Linked DNA regions of Canis lupus familiaris. The protein of the gene in region 1 interacts with the protein of each later gene in a biochemical or structural test. Links are inferred from orthologs where the notes say so. Each region holds a gene or a part of one and is shown in the gene's direction. Other genes may lie near its edges.

Evidence for each region.
Region 2: the proteins of PDK1 (region 1) and PDHA1 form a complex in vitro, tested with the Homo sapiens proteins (2 studies listed by BioGRID, with this or other methods). The link is inferred for Canis lupus familiaris from reciprocal best matches to the Homo sapiens genes PDK1 and PDHA1.
Region 3: of the proteins of PDK1 (region 1) and AKT1, one has a biochemical effect on the other in vitro, tested with the Homo sapiens proteins (3 studies listed by BioGRID and IntAct, with this or other methods). The link is inferred for Canis lupus familiaris from reciprocal best matches to the Homo sapiens genes PDK1 and AKT1.

The regions. Positions count from the first base shown.
Region 1 is NC_049257.1:17,255,176-17,261,128, forward strand, and holds the end of PDK1 (pyruvate dehydrogenase (acetyl-transferring) kinase isozyme 1, mitochondrial), read left to right. Parts: exon of another isoform or gene 1-457; intron 458-1,712; coding exon 1,713-1,853; 3' UTR 1,854-4,321; downstream 4,322-5,953. UniProt on the Homo sapiens protein: Kinase that plays a key role in regulation of glucose and fatty acid metabolism and homeostasis via phosphorylation of the pyruvate dehydrogenase subunits PDHA1 and PDHA2.
Region 2 is NC_049260.1:15,427,659-15,433,621, forward strand, and holds the end of PDHA1 (pyruvate dehydrogenase E1 component subunit alpha, somatic form, mitochondrial), read left to right. Parts: intron 1-194; coding exon 195-262; intron 263-1,640; coding exon 1,641-1,749; intron 1,750-2,046; coding exon 2,047-2,211; 3' UTR 2,212-3,956; coding exon of another isoform or gene 3,957-4,078; 3' UTR 4,079-4,172; downstream 4,173-5,963. Other genes in the region: MAP3K15 (mitogen-activated protein kinase kinase kinase 15), read right to left, coding at 3,957-4,078, 5,361-5,473. UniProt on the Homo sapiens protein: The pyruvate dehydrogenase complex catalyzes the overall conversion of pyruvate to acetyl-CoA and CO(2), and thereby links the glycolytic pathway to the tricarboxylic cycle.
Region 3 is NC_049229.1:72,719,426-72,725,746, reverse strand, and holds part of AKT1 (RAC-alpha serine/threonine-protein kinase), read left to right. Parts: intron 1-2,012; coding exon 2,013-2,124; intron 2,125-2,265; coding exon 2,266-2,413; intron 2,414-2,555; coding exon 2,556-2,687; intron 2,688-2,767; coding exon 2,768-2,833; intron 2,834-4,043; coding exon 4,044-4,112; intron 4,113-4,219; coding exon 4,220-4,345; intron 4,346-4,416; coding exon 4,417-4,545; intron 4,546-4,626; coding exon 4,627-4,841; intron 4,842-5,287; coding exon 5,288-5,375; intron 5,376-6,321. UniProt on the Homo sapiens protein: AKT1 is one of 3 closely related serine/threonine-protein kinases (AKT1, AKT2 and AKT3) called the AKT kinase, and which regulate many processes including metabolism, proliferation, cell survival, growth and angiogenesis.

The DNA.
Region 1 (5,953 bases):
TACCTCATTCAGTTTCTTGTTCTGGCCACTAGATGGCACCTATTTTATAGGAAATGCTGAGGACTGTATAATGGAAAAAATAAATTTATCCGAAAAGGTTAAATTCTTTCAACATAATAATTCTTTTTCTTTTCTTTTAAACCATCTCAATTGTGAGTAATTTGAAAAGGGCAACATGAAGGTAACATTTTTTCCACCAAATGTAACACTTTTTATCTAGCCCATAGATGAAGGGGTTCTGGCAATTCTGAGGCATTTAAAGAGAATATGTAGGTGAAAGGATTTTAATTTCGCTTTGGAAAAAATAGAAGACAGGAATATTACAAAATCATTAAAATCAGGGGCACCTGGTTGGCTCAATCGGTTGAGCATCCAACTCTTGATATCAGTTCAGGTCTTGATCTTGAGGTCATGAGTTCAAGCCCCTGTCGGGCTCCATGCCGTGCACGGAGCCTACCTTAAAAAAAAAAAAAAAATTAAAATCAATGTCAAAGACTTTCCTTTCTATTCTCAGAATGAAATTTCCTGTTTAATATTTTCTATATCTTGGGAAATATCCATGGCTTAAGGTTGAAATCCTACTGAAAGAAGATAAGAAGGAACATGGTTTATCTCAAGTTCTGGTAATTTGCAGGAATCTGAGATAGAACAGTGAATTAATGGTAATGATATGTTGGAAACATGAAATTATGCACAATGTGGGTAACATATATGCTATAAGTGAAATTGGTGGCCTTAATGGCAGGAGGAGAAGGCACAGGGTCAGAGCCAAGGCTAAGAATTTTTCAATCAAAAGCCAAGATGCCTTAGATAAAGTTTTGTATTTATAGTTATTATATTTTGTTATGATGACTTTTTTAAAGTACAGTGACTCCGATGAAAAAAAAGTGTTTCTTCTAACAAATGGTTGAAACAGGGGGCTCCTGGGTAGCACACTGGCTTAGCCTCTGCCTTTAGCTCAGGTGGTGATTCTGGAATCCTGAGATCAAGTTCTACTCCGACTCTTGCATGGAAGCCTACTTCTCCCTCTGCCTATGTCTCTGCCTCTCTCTCTGTGTGTCTCATGAATAAATAAATAAAAAGTTTTAAAAAATAAATCTTAAAATAATTGAAATAGATTCCATTAAATGATTGTACAATTATATATTAAGGAACATATGTCAATTTTTCTGCTTTTACATGAATTTTTTTAAAGATTTTATTTGACAGAGAGCATGAGTAGTTGAAGTGGGGCAGAGGGAGAGAGAGAGAAGCAGGGTCCCTGTTGAGCAGGAAGCCTGATGTAGGGCTCAATCCTGGGACCTCAAGATCATGACCTGAGCCAAAAGTAGATGCTCAACTAACTGAGCCACCCAGGCACCCCTTAAATGACTTTTTCAATTAACCAACTTCTGTTATGGGTCATGTTTTTATAAGAAGCATCTCCTATACCTATATAAAATTTCAATTCAGCAGCTTCGAGGCTGCTGGACAATGACTGCAAACAAAAAAACTCAATATGCACAACAAGCAGTGCCATGGACTTACTAGTAAATAATGTGTTACATATATACACCATTTCAAAATGTATGTAGATGGTGTTAATGATTAGTGAAATACAAATCCAATAAAGCGCTGTTTAATTTGTAGTAACCTTATGCCACTGTATATTTTCTCAAATAGTGGATTTAAAAAAAAAAAAAGCCAGATTTAGATCCCACTTTTTCTTTCAGGCTCTGTCAACAGAATCAATAGAGAGACTGCCAGTGTATAACAAGGCTGCCTGGAAGCATTACAATACCAACCATGAGGCTGACGACTGGTGTGTCCCCAGCAGAGAACCAAAAGACATGACAACATTTCGCAGTGCCTAGATACACTTGGGACACCGTGAACATCCAAATGTGGCTTTTGTATTAAATTTGGAAGGGATGACGTTCAGAACTACATTATACCAAATACTTCACGTGTTATTTTCAAAATTAACTATTTGGGTAGAATAAATGGGAAGTGAATTCCATTTATGTCTGTTAAACCTCCTAAAGGATGAAATTGTACCTATTTTGCACTTATATTTTCACAGTTAATTGAACATATTTTTAAACAACTGTAGTTTTGGTCAACTTTCCTCTTTATGGTAGACTTCAGAAGCATGGAAGTCTTTGGGTTTCTAACAGAAAGCTGTGTGGTTTTTAAAGAACTTTTCATTTATGTGTGCTAGAAACATTTTCTTAATGATACTGATTAAGCTAGTTAGCCATCCGGTTTTTGGAGTTGTGACCTCCATTATTAATGCGTAATGACAATTGTAAAAAGATGGTCCTCAGATGTACCAGTGACTAACTATAAGTAAAGCAAAAGATAGTTGCTCTGCAAGTCTAGCACCAGCCACCTTTCAGCATCTACATGTATCATCTTCACTCTGAAGTTGACTTACCATTTTTTAATTTCATTGCAAAGGATTGCAATAGGTTCCCTATGTAGCTAAGCCAAGATGGTGGGCAATCTACTCTGAATATGCATGTGATTAAATGCAGGGAGAAATTTTTACACTAAAAACAAACTAGCAGCTGCTAAAATTCTAGAGAAGAAATTGAGGTCAAAGCAGTGAGTCCTCGAACTATCAATTATTGAGATTACCTGGGGGAGATTTTGAACAGAATTTTTCTGGGTCTTACTCCAGACATATATATAATCAGACTCTACAGCTGGAGCCCAGAAATCTCAATTTTTAGAATGCTTCCTAGATGAGTCTAATGCCTCACCTAGTTAGGGAACTACTCCTTTAAAGTGAGTAATGTTACCACATTTGCTAAGGTAACAGAGATCTTTAGATTTTGATTCTTAATATTGAAAGGTCAGACTTCTAGACTCCAGGAGAGACCAACACTCTCAGGCCTGGTGCAGTTAAAAGCAGGAGACACAGTGACTACATGCAGACAGTCTGGTAACTGAAGAATCAGAACCATAAATGCACAAGGATTGACGAAGTACATTTATTTTATGAGAAATACCTAGACTTGGTTATCAGGAAAAATTCACCTAGGACTTAGCAGCAGTTCTTTGCATTCATATGATAATTTGCATTTTACAAATACTTTGGTATAATATGATCACTCCCTTGGGCTTTAAAACAGGTACAGAGGGGGTGGTATCATCCTTGTTTTGAGACTCAGAGTGTGGCCAGAAGTTGCACAGCATTGGAGTCAGGGCCTGAACTCTCTCTGCGGATCACTGCCAGCCGCCAGCTCTGGGAGACCACGAGGACGTTAGGGGAGTATGGGGTTAGTCACAACTCAACTTTTAAAGTGACAGGGAAATATATCAAAAATAAATTTTAAAGTAAGATTTTGAATTTTTAAAGAACAACTTTACTACTTAAATGTGGGAACTTTATCTGGAAAATACATCTGGTGGCAACACCTCATTCTCAAAAGGATTCCATGAGTTTAACAATTCTATATAAATTTGTAAATCAGAAGGGTTGTAAAAGGGCAGTCCAGGACCCTCATTTGAGAGGTGACAGCCCTGAGACTCAGGGCTTCTTAGCTAATTTGACCAAATGTTGGAAAAAGATCCTTTACCCAATCGATTGTTCCTTAATTATGGATTTTGTGAAAAATAATAAGATATGCTAGTGGATGATTTATATTAGTTCAAGGTATTACCGTTTTTTAGCTTTAAATTACACTTTTTTTGTAATGATGAAATATTTTAGAATTCTTTGAATCAAAATACTTTTCTTTCCTAAATGAAACATTTGTACAACTGACATAAACTTGCTGTTTTACTTCTGAAACACTTCCCCTCCCCCCCAAATTAAAGCTTTTCTCTATTTATGAGCTAAGAAATGATGTTTTTAAAGCAAAAGTGAAATGTTTTCCTTTAGCTTCTTTTTAAGGTATAACAGCTTTTTTACTTTATTATGTGGTAATGGACAGAAGATTACATACAAAAATGTCTGGGGGCTAGCATTCTCCTCGGTGGTTTCAAATCATTGCGCTACCTGAAAAGTTTTTAAATTCTTAGGTTGTTTTGTCCACCAGCATTTAGTGTGATGCCATATAGATATAAAAATATACAGAAGGATAAGAAGTGGATACTAAGTGATTTTTATACCTGGGCATTGAATAAATGTGCCAACATTTTTTAGGAAGATTCGCAAAAATATTCTGACCTATACTTAAATTACTGGCTGGCTTTAGATGTCTTCATACTAAATAGTGATCACTTTCTTGCACTGTGAAGTTTTTACATGAAGATGTTAAAGTGGAAGTCTACCATATTATTTTATAAAATGTTTTGTGTGTGGCAATAAACTGAAAACATGGATCAACTCTTATTTTGAAAATTAATTGGATCGATTTAGGTTTTTTTAAATAATATATATTTTTTTCAATTAAAGTCTCTTCCATCAAGGGTCGGTGTTCTATAAACACTCAAATGGTTGTACCTAGATGGCTCACACTAAGTCTCCCCATCTTCAGTTGAGGAAATGTTTAGAACTTAGATTTCCGATGTGTATATTCTAATGGAAAAGGCAGGAGATAGAATTTGTATGGTTTGAGTTATCCCAGATTTTCATTATCCAAACATCCACTGATGGACCAACTCACCACACAAGTGAAGATCTTCTGTTGTGTGATTTTTGAAAGGTTATATTAATGTGCTCTTTGAGTAAGTTTTCATAATATAAGTAATTATAAGAAAGGTCCTTTTTTTTAAGATTGTATTTATTTATTCATGAGAGACAGACAGAAAGGCAGAGACACAGGCAGAGAGAGAAGCAGGCTCCATGCAGGGAGCCTGACGTGGGACTCAATCCTGGGTCTCCAGGATCATGCCCTGGACTGAAGGAGGCACTAAACCGCTGAGCCACCCAGGCTGCCCCTATAAGAAAGGTCTTAATTTAACTAGCAGTCCCCTCTGTACCAGTTGAAAAGTCAGAACTAAATCTAGTCAAAGATAGGTGCCTATCTCTATTCCTGAATAATGGGATATGACTACAACTTCCCATCATTGTTAATCCCAACAAGCTCCGTAACAAACTCCATAGGTGAAAAACTGGGCAAACAAACCATTATCATTACTGGACCTTGGTGGCCTGTGAATGGCTAATCAGAGGGGAAGCCAAAAATCAGTCAACCAACTTGAGTTTGTGTCTTCAATTGCTTTGTCATAAAGTTTTAGCAGATGGGTAATCAGAATTGAGCTAGCTGGTTAGCAAACGGCTTTTCCTGGAGGAACTTTTCATCATATGTGATTAACTTCTGGCCCCAATGATTCATCTTCTTACAGTCAAGCCCAGTGCTTGAAAAAAATAGTATAATGAGGTGTGAAGGATTTTACATATGTTAAAAAAGAACATGCTGGTTTGCTTAGTTCAGGCATTCTAGGACTACTGACCTTTTGTTCTACTTACATGTTTGGAAAGAATTAGACATACTGCTCACTTTTTCCTAGAGTCTTCATATTTCTTTAGCAATTGCTAACCATAGGATTTTGATAGGAAAAGACAAGATTGCCAGTTTTGTTTCTTTTAATTTATAACATGAAACTTAATCCATATTTATAAGAACAGTGGTAATAAACACAATATAGGTGTATGTTATTATCATTCTTACTCTTTCCTCACCAAGGCCAATATTGTACATAGTTATACACAGATCAACTGTAATTTAAAAATCTTTTTCATCAATCAGATTGCATTTTAGTGGTTTGGAATGTGTTTCTAGGTCCTTTCATTCCAGTTCAAGGTTGCCCATTTTTCCTGTAAAACTTTAGGCCTTTTTTCTTGCCTTTCAAAAGCTGTTATTTTCATTAGGGAATGGTGACAGCTATCTTTTACTCTATTGAATTAGATTTTTGAGCGAAAATGTGCAGTTTTAATTCCAGGAAGGTAAACCAAACTTCCATTTGAATGTTACATTCACTTGGGAGCTATTTTCTGAAAGTCTAGAAGTACACTTCCTGC
Region 2 (5,963 bases), on another chromosome or scaffold:
TTAAAATCTTAAAAAAAATAAAAAGCAACTAAGTTCCATATAAACTAGAAGTATCAGAAAGGAGAACATAATTCTTAAGTCAGTCAGCTAATAGGAAATTCTTGACAACTCAGCCAACTTACAGAAAATCCAATGAGAATATCTTTGATTCTGAAAGGATGTGCTGTGCTCATCGTCTCACTGGGTTGTTTTAGGGGCCCATATTGATGGAGCTACAGACTTACCGTTACCATGGACACAGCATGAGCGACCCTGGTGTCAGGTATGGTCATGGGAAATCTGGGTGTGGTGTCCCTGGGTGGGTGGGCTTTGTATGGTGCTACTCATATGAAAAAGCAAAGCATTTCAACATTTGCTTTGGAAGCCAGACACCAGTGGGCTTCATGCGGTGAATTTGTTGGTATCGAGTAATTATTTGAGTCTTTGCCTGGAAGCATTCGGAAAATCCTTATTTGTAGTATGTACATGTTAGCATGAGCAGTAATGAATTGCAGAGAAGGGGGCACCTGGCTGGCTTAGAGGGGAGAGCATGTGACTTGGGATTTGTGATGTTATGGGTAGAAGTTACTTTACAGAGAGAAACTGTTGGATAAAACAGGTCAATGGTATAGCATATATATATTTAGGGACATGTAGCTTTTGTAGGCATTACCCAAATATAGAGTTGAAATGTGAAAACTTGGCTGGTATGGAGTGAGGCCACCTGGCACGTGGGATATTCAGTATATTGAAATCAATCGGTCAAAAAAAAGGTAAGTTACATTAGGAAGATAGTTTTACTTGCCACTTAGTGACCCTGGCATGTAATGCTGCCATCCCAGAGTGTGACAGAGTTAAAAGTAGTAGATTTAGTCAATAAGCCCTAACAAGCCTGAGAGTAGATTGGTATTCTAAGAGAAATGTTATAAAGAACAACTTAGATGGAAAAATGTACTTGGTATTTTCAAAAAAACAATAGAGCCCTTTTAGTGGTGGTTGGAAGATATAAGACAAGGATGTATGTACAGTTGACCTTTGAGCAACACAGGTTTCAACAACATGGGCCCACAGATCCAGGGATTTTCTTTTTTCATTTCTCTTGACTATAACACTTCTTTCCAACTTCCGTTAAGAGCACACTATATAGACTAATACATGGAAGTAACATACAAAATACGTGTTAATAAAGTGTTATTCATAAGACTTGTTTTTCGGGAGTCAACATTTGCAGATTTTCAACTGTGTGTATGGGCGGTTGGCGCTCTTAACTGACTCTCGAACACCGTGGGGCTTCTTTTCTAGAATCAGGAATTGGAAAACCTGTGCAAGTGTTCACTGGCCTCACTTCTCTGGGCTCCTAAAGCCTGATTTCCTGCTTGGTATTCTGCTACCTGCCAGTGACGTGAGAGGGCACAGGCAGTGGCTCTACCACTTCCTTCAGATCCTACATCTGGATCAAAAAAGCAAATAAAAGCTTGGCCCCTCCTCTTCAGAACACCTGAGAAGCCAGGGGAATCGTCAGGGTAGAGTTTGCCTCTAAGATTCTAGTATCTTTCATGGAAGAGTTCTTGTATTCTATGTGCACCCTCCCCCGGTGACCGCTCTGTGTCCGAAGCCCACGTCTCTGGAGCTGTCCTTACCTACTGTTTGTCTTCCTGTAGTTACCGTACACGAGAGGAGATTCAGGAAGTAAGAAGTAAGAGCGACCCTATCATGCTTCTCAAGGATAGAATGGTGAACAGCAACCTGGCCAGTGTCGAGGAACTAAAGGTAGGCTCGCCTTTTCCAGCAACCAGTTTTTTTTTTGCACCCAGAGAGCTGCCACTCCTGGGGGAGCTGCCTGGGTCAGTGGGAAAGTATGGGTCAGTCATATTCGCAAAACCTTGAAACCCAGGAGCTGTTTTTTCCTAAAAATATACTTTGGATGTTCGGTTCATAAAGAGCCCCTGTTAGTACTTCTATTCCTAGGAGAGTTCTAGTTGTACTAGCAACCTGTTCCAAGTAGACCTGCTTGTATCTATGCTGCTGTTTACTCAGTAACCTCCTGAACTATAATCTGATTTATAGGAAATTGATGTTGAAGTGAGGAAGGAAATTGAGGATGCTGCCCAGTTTGCCACTGCTGATCCGGAACCGCCTTTGGAAGAACTAGGCTATCACATTTACAGCAGCGATCCGCCTTTTGAAGTTCGGGGTGCAAATCAGTGGATCAAGTTTAAGTCTATCAGTTAATAATAGATAGTTACACCTTCAGTGGGATCCAACTCTAAGGGTCTTTGTGTTCTCAAATTTGTTAAGGAAGAAAAGCCCATAAAAAGAATATAGGCTAAGGTAGTAATTGCATGTGTTTTGTACAACAACTGTACAACAGTGTTGCATTAAAAGATGTTACTGCACACTTAGTGTGAATATTATATAAGGTTATTTTAGATTCAGATTTTTCCTTAAAATAGTTCTATTCCTTTTAATAACTGAAAAATAGTATACAACTAAATCAAAAGCCATTCATTCCTACGTTTGAGGGGAGTGGGATCATTCCCTTGACCCTTGGCAAGGGCCCCTGTGCCTCACCTAACAGCAAATACTACATGCACACCCTCCTCAGTGTGCGTGTGGGAGCTAAAGCCTCTTCACACTGACCATCATTTTTCAGTAAAAGTATATTATCTCCAGTCAGGGAGGTAGAAGGACAATTCCAGTTTTATTTTTTTAAGGATTTTATTTTTAAGTAATCTCTAGACCCAACATGGGGCTCGAACTCCCAACTCTGAGATCAAGACTCAAATGCTCCATCAGCTGAGCCAGCTAGGTGCCCCAACAATGCCATTTTTAAATAAGACCATAATCATTTCAAAGGCCAAATAACTTAGTTTTCTTCATTTATACATTAAATACAAAGCTATTTTCTTAATAGTTTTCTATTTACATTCATATCAAACATTAAATACAAGGCATATTCTTAAGTACAATGCCAGTTTATAGTAAGCTATGGTCTAAAACAGTGAGGCCCAGCCTGTTACTTTAGGGTGTATATTGAAATTTGTTTAAAAGATTCCATAATATTCTGGGATGTCAAATTAGAGTTCAGCCACTGTTCTCACAATACGTAAGTTCTACTCACCTTTAAAACATGTTGGTAAGAGATTTAAAAAGCTCATCCCATTTCAGCAATTCGTTAAAACTTCAAACTCTTAAATAACGGGGTTTTCCTTATGTAAACTTAGTGGAATTCGGGTGTATGTTAACAGAAATCTTAAGAAGGATGTCAGCTCTTCGCTCCCTCTGTCCCCTGGCCTAAGCCGACTGGTTCAGCCTCATCTCGGGCGGCTGGAGACCCCTGAGCCCTTCTGTACTGGCAGACTGCTGTCCAGAGCCGGCAGAGGCAACCACCACTAGGAGACAAATGAGGCTGCTTTAGAGTCGTAAGCACACCACCGAGTACTTCTTTAGGAGCTCTTAAGCTACAGTGTACAACTCTAGACCTGTCTAGATTGCCAAAATGCAGTTCCTCGCTTAACTAGAGGTCTTTCGTCTTGTATTTGGGCTCCAGTAGGAGGGCCAGGTGGCTCTGCGGAGCAGGCTGAGGAAGGAGGGGCTGGAGAGAGCTCTGGGGTTTCACCTCCCACTGGTACCCAACTCTACCCTAAGGAAACTCTGGAGTGAGAGAGGAGGTTGGGTAGTTGGTTTTCTGACTAAGCCATAGCCATACATAGGAAGGAGAATTGATTTCAGTGAAGGAGTAAAGTGACCACCACTTTGTTTTCTACTGATTTAAAAGCACAATCACATCAAAAAAGTCATTTTCTATTACAGTGTTTTGAAGCCATTCTTACCGTAGTCTAAGGTGTCTTAGATCTTCCCTAGTGATGTCATTAAGAATATCAGAAAGGGTATAACCTTCTTCAACAATCTGAAACAAAAATCGAATACAGAAGAGCTAAGCTGCTTTGTAAGAAGGGCATAGGAATGCTTTTTTGTTAGAAATTTACCTTTTCTATTGTACTCGAATCTGCTCCTTGCAGTTGTAACCAGTCCACAAGCTCTTTATCAGTTTTCTGCTCCTGAGACCCAGGAGGGGATGCTGAATTCTCTGTAGTATCTGCAACGATGTGAGATGTATTTTGTTGTATGTTAATGTTTAAAACTCTTCAAAAGTAACAAGGTGGATGAAATAAACTATTATACAACATAAAGGTGATTTGAAAGAAAATGAATTTAAACCTGTGTGAACTGGGGATCCCTGGGTGGCGCAGCGGTTTGGCGCCTGCCTTTGGCCCAGGGCACGATCCTGGAGACCCGGGATCGAATCCCACGTCGGGCTCCCAGTGCATGGAGCCTGCTTCTCCCTCTGCCTGTGTCTCTGCCTGTGTGTGTGTGTGTGTGTGCGTGTGTGCGTGTGTGTGTGTGTGTGTGTGTGACTATCATAAATAAAAAAATTTTTAAAAAACTGTGTGAACTGTTCTAATTCATACTACACAACACTCCCTAGTTGGTGGATTCACTTCCCAGAGATTAAAGGGACCACAGGTAAGGGTGAGGTTACTTGCGAATCTGATATGCTTGCTATCTGTCTACCACCTTAAAAAAATAAAGATTTTATTTATTTATTCATGAGAGGCAGAGACACAGGCAGAGGGAGAAGCAGGCTCCATGCAGGGAGCCCGACGCGGGACTCCATCCCAGGACTCCAGGATCATGCCTGGAGTTGAAGGCAGACGCTTAACTGCTAAGCCACCCTGGCATCCCTCTATCTGCCACTTTAAATGCTTATTACAGTCTGTAAAATGCCTCTTGTAAGGAATCTCATCCTTAACTGCACTGGAAATCAAATGAGGAAATAGACTTCAGTCCTGAGATTTTGTGCCCGTGCTTATCCATCCCACATTCCAAGAGGTGCCTGCAGCTCTTTGCTAAGTGGCCTGAAGTGGATCAGGTTTAACTTGTGCAATAAATCTGCAATCACCCTTTTTAGGTATGTAAGGGCCGTGCCCTTTGACAGGCAGTCATGTAACCACTACTGTCATCAAGATGACAAATTTCTGTCACCCCCAGAAGTTCTTGCAGCCTTTTATAATCATTCTCCCCCCACCCCCAATTCTGATGTTTTCGGTCCCTAGAGTTTTGCCTTTAACAGAGTTTTGCATAAATATTCCATATTTAGGTGCTCATAGCATGTAGCCTTTTGAATCTGCCTTCACTGAGCATAATGCATTTGTGATTCATCCATGTTTTTGAATGTACCAGTGGTTTTCTGTTACTGAGGAGTATTCCAGAATATACTGGAGTACTTACTGCTTTACTAGAGAGTAACTGCAACTGTGGCAAGGCTGACTAGCCATTTTAAGTGGTCTCACACACAAAGCAAGTGGAAAATTTCTCACCATTAGATTTGAATTGTAACTGAAGATGATACAATTCCTGAGTTTTCCGCTCCAGGGTTTGCCGTAGAAGATTCTGGTACTCTCTTTCTTTCTGAACTAGGTGTTCCAAAAGTCTGGTTAAAAAAAATGCCATTATTCAGAGAGAGCCTAACACCATTCACACTGCCTGCTTTCAGCCTGGGCACCTTCCTTGTGTTCCCTGCCCTTGAAAACAAAGTCCGGCACTTGGCATTTTGTCTCAACGTGTATCACAAACCAGAAGATAACCTGAGGGTGAGCAGCATGCTCAGCCAGGAGGATCTGGTGAGGACAGCTTGTCTCCCTGAGTCCCATCAAGTGGCTGAAGCGAGCTCTTGGGCTCTTTCCTCTTCAGGGGAGGAAGCTTCTGACGCCAGTGGCAGGAGAGCGCCGGGAGGAAGGTGGCCTCAAGCAGAGGGAGCCCAGCACTGTGCTAAATGCTTCACAGGCACTGGTCTCACGTGCTCAAGACAGACCAGATGCCCCCAGGTAGCAGCACTCTGGGCAGGAGGTGCCGTCCTCCTGCTGTGTGCGCATGGCTGAGGCATCTCCAGGACACCGGGACAGGCGTGTGTGTCCACCATC
Region 3 (6,321 bases), on another chromosome or scaffold:
TCAGGTTTCCTCGGAGCAGCCATAGAGTAGGGGCTCCAGGGTGACGGGAGACCAAGGAGGTAGGCACCCCTGTCCCTGCAGCCTGGTGGCTGGCTGGGCTCCGCCCAGTGCCTCCTTGGCTGGGGTGGGTGCCACCTTGCTGGCAGGGCTGTGGGGGCCCTGGGGAATGTTCCCTGCGGGCAGAGAGCCTACAGAGGCTCTCGGGAGGCAGGCGCCATGCAGAGGGGCTGGGGCTGGGGCCCTGAAGCCGGGGAGGTGGCTGGGTGGGGGCCTCTGTGGCTACGGGCTTCTCCTTGGGGATGGATTCCAGGGGTGGGGGCACAGGAAGCCAGGGTGGGACGGACACCAGGCGCCTAGGTTCTGGGAAAAGCTGGTGGTCTCTGATGAGCCAGTGGGAGGTAGGTGTGCGGGACGGAGAACACAGGCCACAAGGCTTTCTGTCCCCCATCCCCATGTTGACATAGGCCAGGCCCAGCCCCGGTAGACCACTCCTTACCTCTGCCGAGCCCGGCCAGGCCCCCCTGAGGTTGCTAGGGCCCTCACACACACTGGGCCAGCGTCGCCCTAGAATTTCTCAGCGGTACCCCAGACTGGCTCACACCCCTCTTGGGGCCTCGTGCATCCCCACAGCCCCTGTGCTGCTGGTGTGCGTGCATTACTGGTGTGTGTGTGTGCTCTAGCTGTGTGCCTGCTCCAGGTGTGTGCCTGCTCCAGGTGTGTGCGTGCTCCAGCTGTGTGCGTGTTCCAGCTGTGTGCGTGCTCCAGCTGTGTGCCTGCTCCAGGTGTGTGTGTGCTCCAGCTGTGTGCGTGCTCCAGCTGTGTGCGTGCTCCAGCTGTGTGCCTGCTCCAGGTGTGTGCGTGCTCCAGCTGTGTGCCTGCTCCAGCTGTGTGGCTGCACCAGGTGTGTGTGTGCTCCAGCTGTGTGCCTGCTCCAGGTGTGTGCGTGCTCCAGCTGTGTACCTGTTCCAGGCGTGTGCATTCTCCTGGTGTGTTTTGCTCTTGCTGTGTGTCTGGTCCAGCTGTGTGCCCGCTTCAGGTGTGTGCAGTCCTGGTGTGTGCGTGCTCCAGCCATGAGCGTGCCCCTGGTGTGTGTGTGTTCCAACTGTGTGTGAGCTTCCAGTGTGTGGGAACTCCTAGTGTGCGTGTGTTCCAGGTGTGCCCGCGTTTCAGCTGTGTATGAGCTCCTAGTGTGCATACAATCCAGCTGTGTGTCTGCTCCAGGCACGTGCATGTTCCAGCTGTGTGAGCTCCCGGTGTGCACGCATCCCAGCTGTGTGCCTGCTCCAAGTGTGTGCCTGTTCCGGCCATGAGCATGCTTCTGAGCTCCTTAGTGTGCGTGTGTTTCAGCTGTGTATGAGCTCCCGGTGTGCACACATTCCAGGTTTGTGCATGCTCCAGGTGTGTGCGTGCTCTGGATATGTGTCTCCGTGTTCCTGCCATGCGCCTGGAATCCCCAGCCTCGGGTGGTGGTGGGGGAATGCCATCGTGTGGGGTGGGTACAGCCCGAGCAGCCTCCAGGGAGGGTCATGTCCTCCAGCTGCCTGCCCAGGACAGGCGGCGTCTCTGAAGGGTGAGTCCCCACCGGCCTTTGCCCTGGGACTGGCCCTGCTGGGGGGGGCGTGGGCTGGGTAAATGGCAGGGGGTTCCTGCTCGGGGGCCAGCTGCTTTCCCTCCTCTGCCCCGCCCCTGGGGCATCCCTCCTCCTCCTCCCTCCGGCCAGTTGAGCTGCCTGGCATGCAGCACGGGCTCAGAGACCGAAGGACCAGGGGAGAGGATGACATGGGGCCGAGGTGACCCGGCCTCAGCCAGCCCTGCAGGGGCACCTCACTGCCTGCCAGCACAGTGTCAGGACTGGAATAGGGGTCCCACCCCTGGTTTTACAAGCAGGGGAGCCAAGGCGTGGAATGGGAATGGGATAGGGCTTTGCATGACCTGGTGGTGGGGTCCCGGGGCCGGGGGCAGGTGGGCCCTGTGTGCGGGGGTGCAGACTCACCTGCCAGCCCTGCCCCCAGAATGTCAGCTGATGAAGACTGAGCGGCCCAGGCCCAACACCTTCATCATCCGTTGCCTGCAGTGGACCACGGTCATCGAGCGCACCTTCCACGTGGAGACACCCGAGGAGCGGTATGAGATGGATGCACGGGGCAGCTGGGTGCCGGGGCCTCTGCTCCCTGGTGGGGAGGGCACACGCCCTGTGGGGAGCCAGGCCTCGCTGTCCCCCGTGTCCAGGCCGGGGTCACGGGGCCTCACGTGCCGGCCCTGCAGGGAGGAGTGGACGACTGCCATCCAGACAGTGGCCGACGGGCTCAAGAGGCAGGAGGAAGAGATGATGGACTTCCGGTCGGGCTCGCCCAGTGACAACTCGGGGGCTGAGGAGATGGAGGTGTCCCTGGCCAAGCCCAAGCACCGTGTGGTGAGGCGCTCCCCCAGCTCAGAGGGGCCTGGCCGCCCCATTGTGGCCACTGGGAGCCCTGTGGGAGGAGTAGGGCTGGGATGCGGGATTGCGGGGGGGTCCGGGCCGCCCTGACCCCAGGTGCCTGCCCGCCGCCCCACAGACCATGAATGAGTTTGAGTACCTGAAGCTGCTGGGGAAGGGCACGTTTGGGAAGGTGATCCTGGTCAAGGAGAAGGCCACGGGCCGCTACTACGCCATGAAGATCCTGAAGAAGGAGGTCATTGTGGCCAAGGTGGGGCACGGGGCCGGGGCCTGGCCGGGGTGTGGGGGCGGGCAGGGGCAGGCGGGGGCTCACCGGGCTCTGTCTTCCAGGACGAGGTTGCCCACACGCTCACGGAGAACCGTGTTCTCCAGAACTCTCGGCATCCCTTCCTGACGGTGAGTCCTGGAGGCGCCGGGCTGCCTGCGGGGGTGAGGCTCTGGGCCGGGGGCTCCCTGCCACCAGCCTGTCCGCGGAAGCCCCGCGTGCCTGGCCGAGGGTGGGCACACCTGCGAGGATGCCGGGAGGCGGGGGTGGTTTGTGCCCCCGTGCACGGAATGGGGTCTTCCTCCCCCCGCGCTGCCCGAGGCCCTGGGAGGACCCCAAGCCCCCGTGCCTGCCCTGCACGCCCCCTTCCGGCTACTCCCCCCTTGAGGCTGGAGCCAGGAGGGTCTCATCCTGGGGGGCCCTTGGCCCAGGAGGAGCGTCCGGAAAGCCGTTAGCCTTAGCGCCGTCCCGGGCTCGGCCAGCTCCTGGGAGGTGTGGATGGGCCCGCGCTCACCTGCAGGGTCTGGCCGGGCGCTGCCCCCACCCGGGCTCTCCCTGGGACTCCCCCCCACCCCCAGGCTGCGTCACCTACTCAGGGTGTCCTCAGCCCAGGGGACCGCCTGATCCAAAGCAGGAGCAAAGTAGGGAAGGGGCTGTACTTCTCTAAAGTTTCTGTTCCTTAAAACGTTTTCTTAGGAGAAGTGACCGACATTTTTAAAGAAGGTCTCATTTTTTAGCCCAGACTCATTCTTTATGCTGGCTTTGCCTGAGATTTGTGTCACCTTGCTCCTGCTGCTCGTGTCCAGGCTCTGTGTCCTTCCCTCCCCCTCAGCGCACCCCCATGACCACAGCACCCTGCCGCGCTCGACAGGGCCTCCGGGGTCCGTGCACGCTGCCCCCCCCACCCCCGGCCCTGGCGGTGGCACCCCCTCTGCAGGTTCTCCAAGGGGACAGGGCTCACGGGGCACAGCTTATCCCCGCTGCCCGAGTCTGTGGCCGGTAGAGACCAGCCTGTCCTGTGTTTTCCGTGGATGGGGCTCCTCCCCGGCGGCTGGGCTAGACCCGGGGTCAGTCACTTGTGGGGACGACTCGGTCCGTGTACGGCCAGGCCGCTGGTGGTGTGGGGTGGGAGGGCGGCCGGGAAGCTCTGCCCAGGCGTGTCCTCCCCTTGCCGACCGTACCCCGTCCCGCGCTGGGCCCCGAGCCCGGGGGAAGCCTCCACGCGGTCACCAGGATCGCCAGCTTCCGGGACCCTACCTGCCTGAGATTCAAGACCGGCCCGTGGGCGTCGGGCGTCCTGCGGGGCCCGGGGGCCGCGTACCAGCTCTGCTTCCCTCGCAGGCCCTGAAGTACTCCTTCCAGACCCACGACCGCCTCTGCTTCGTCATGGAGTACGCCAACGGGGGCGAGGTAGGGTGGCCGCGGCGTGCGTGGGGCTGGCCCTGAGCCCTGGGGTCCCGCCCGGGAGGCAGGGTCTCGGCCCGCAGCCCCCACACCGTCACGCCCTTGTCCCGCAGCTCTTCTTCCACCTGTCCCGGGAGCGGGTGTTCCCCGAGGACCGGGCGCGCTTCTACGGCGCCGAGATCGTGTCGGCCCTGGACTACCTGCACTCGGAGAAGAACGTGGTCTACCGCGACCTCAAGGTGGGCGGGCGGGAGCGGCCTGGGGGGTGCGCTGCAGGGGGTGGGGCTGGCACTGACCCGCCCCCCCACAGCTGGAGAACCTCATGCTGGACAAGGACGGGCACATCAAGATCACGGACTTCGGGCTGTGCAAGGAAGGCATCAAGGACGGAGCCACCATGAAGACCTTCTGCGGGACGCCCGAGTACCTGGCCCCCGAGGTGCGCACCTGCCGCGTCCCCAGGGGGCCTGGGCCCCCGCGTCCCCCGGGCGGCCTGTGACCCGCGCCCCTGCGTCCCCAGGTGCTGGAGGACAACGACTACGGCCGGGCGGTGGACTGGTGGGGGCTGGGCGTGGTCATGTACGAGATGCTGTGCGGCCGCCTGCCCTTCTACAACCAGGACCACGAGAAGCTCTTCGAGCTCATCCTCATGGAGGAGCTGCGCTTCCCGCGCACGCTCAGCCCTGAGGCCAAGTCCCTGCTCTCAGGGCTGCTCAAAAAGGACCCCAAGCAGAGGTGAGCCCGCGGCCCTGAGCCAGCAGGGGGCTGGTGGGCCACCCCACCCCCGTGCCCGTGCCCCCCAGGGACAGCGGGCCAGCCTCCGGGCCACGCTGGTGGCTGATGTGTGACGTCCTCGGCCAGGGCCGATGGGGACCTCGCAGCCTCTCACACCTGCTCAGGAAGACCCTGCCCTGCCGGCAGCACCTGCCTCCCCGACGTCCTCCTCGTGCAGGAGCCTGGCCCATGGCCTGGTGTTGTCCACTGCCCCCAGGGAGGCAGTGCCATCCCCCGCCCCAGGACCATCACCCTCAAACCGGCTCCCCTCTCCCGTGCCCCCCAGCCCCAGGCTGTGCCCCCTGCACCGTCCTCCCTGCTGCCCCGAGACCCCAGCAGGAGGAGGGCCCGGTGAGGGGCCCGAGCCCTGAGCCAGGCATGGCAGCCCCTGACGTGTCCCTCCGCAGGCTCGGAGGGGGCTCAGAGGACGCCAAGGAGATCATGCAGCACCGCTTCTTCGCTAGCATCGTGTGGCAGGACGTGTACGAGAAGAAGGTGTGTGGGTGGCCTGGCGCATCTCCCCCCTTCCCACCCCTTCTCCAGGCTTACAGGGTCTGCACTGCGGGATTTCCTCCCAAGCCCCGAACAGGGTCCTCCCGCAGGGTCCTCCCTCGGTCCAACCCCCAGAGGGAGTGTGGGGGCGTGGACTCCCCGAACCCGGCGCCCTGTCAGCTTTGGGCCTCAGGCTTCCCCGTCCCTGAGGCTGCCCGTGAAGCCTGGCAGTGGAGCGGGGGCCCTAACCCTGCCCTCCCACTCTCTCCACTTGTCCATAGTCCGTCCTGCCGCCCTGAGCACGTGGGATCGGGGCACAGCACCCGCTTGCCTAGCGCATGCAGGAGGCCTCCCAGGAGCGAGGCAGCTGCCGCTTGCCCCCATTCCTCTGTCCTTTGCCCTCTGAGGGACTTGAGGGGCGCAGTGGCCCAGCAGGTCAGGAAGCCTGGACCAGGGCGTGCTGCACACCTGTCACCAAATAGACTCCCACCTGGTTTCCATTCTCCCCTCCCCTGCAGGCCGCACACACCGGGTGGGCCTCCGCCCTGTCTGCGAGACGGGGCGCCCCCACCCTGCTCAGCTCCCAGCCACTACCCTGCCCTGAGGTCTGCCACCACCGGGCTCTGCCCTCCGACAGCCCAGCTGCTGCCCAACCTTGACCCCTGCTAGCTCACGAGGGGCAGCCCTGGAGTACTGCAGGGCAGTGCTTGCTTGGGGGGCCCTCCCACGGGCACGTCCCCTACAGTTCCCCCCGCAACCTCCGCGGCCTAACTCAGCCAGCTGCGCTGTTGTCCTGGAGCCACCAATGAGGCCAGCCAGGCCGTGCACTCAGGACTGTCCCTTCCCCGTTGTGCCAGGCGAGGCCCCAGAGAGCTCATGCAGAGGAAGGCCTGGCCTCCTCTCCTGGTGGGAGGTTGGGCAGGGAGGGCCCTGGGAGCCCTGTGTGGAT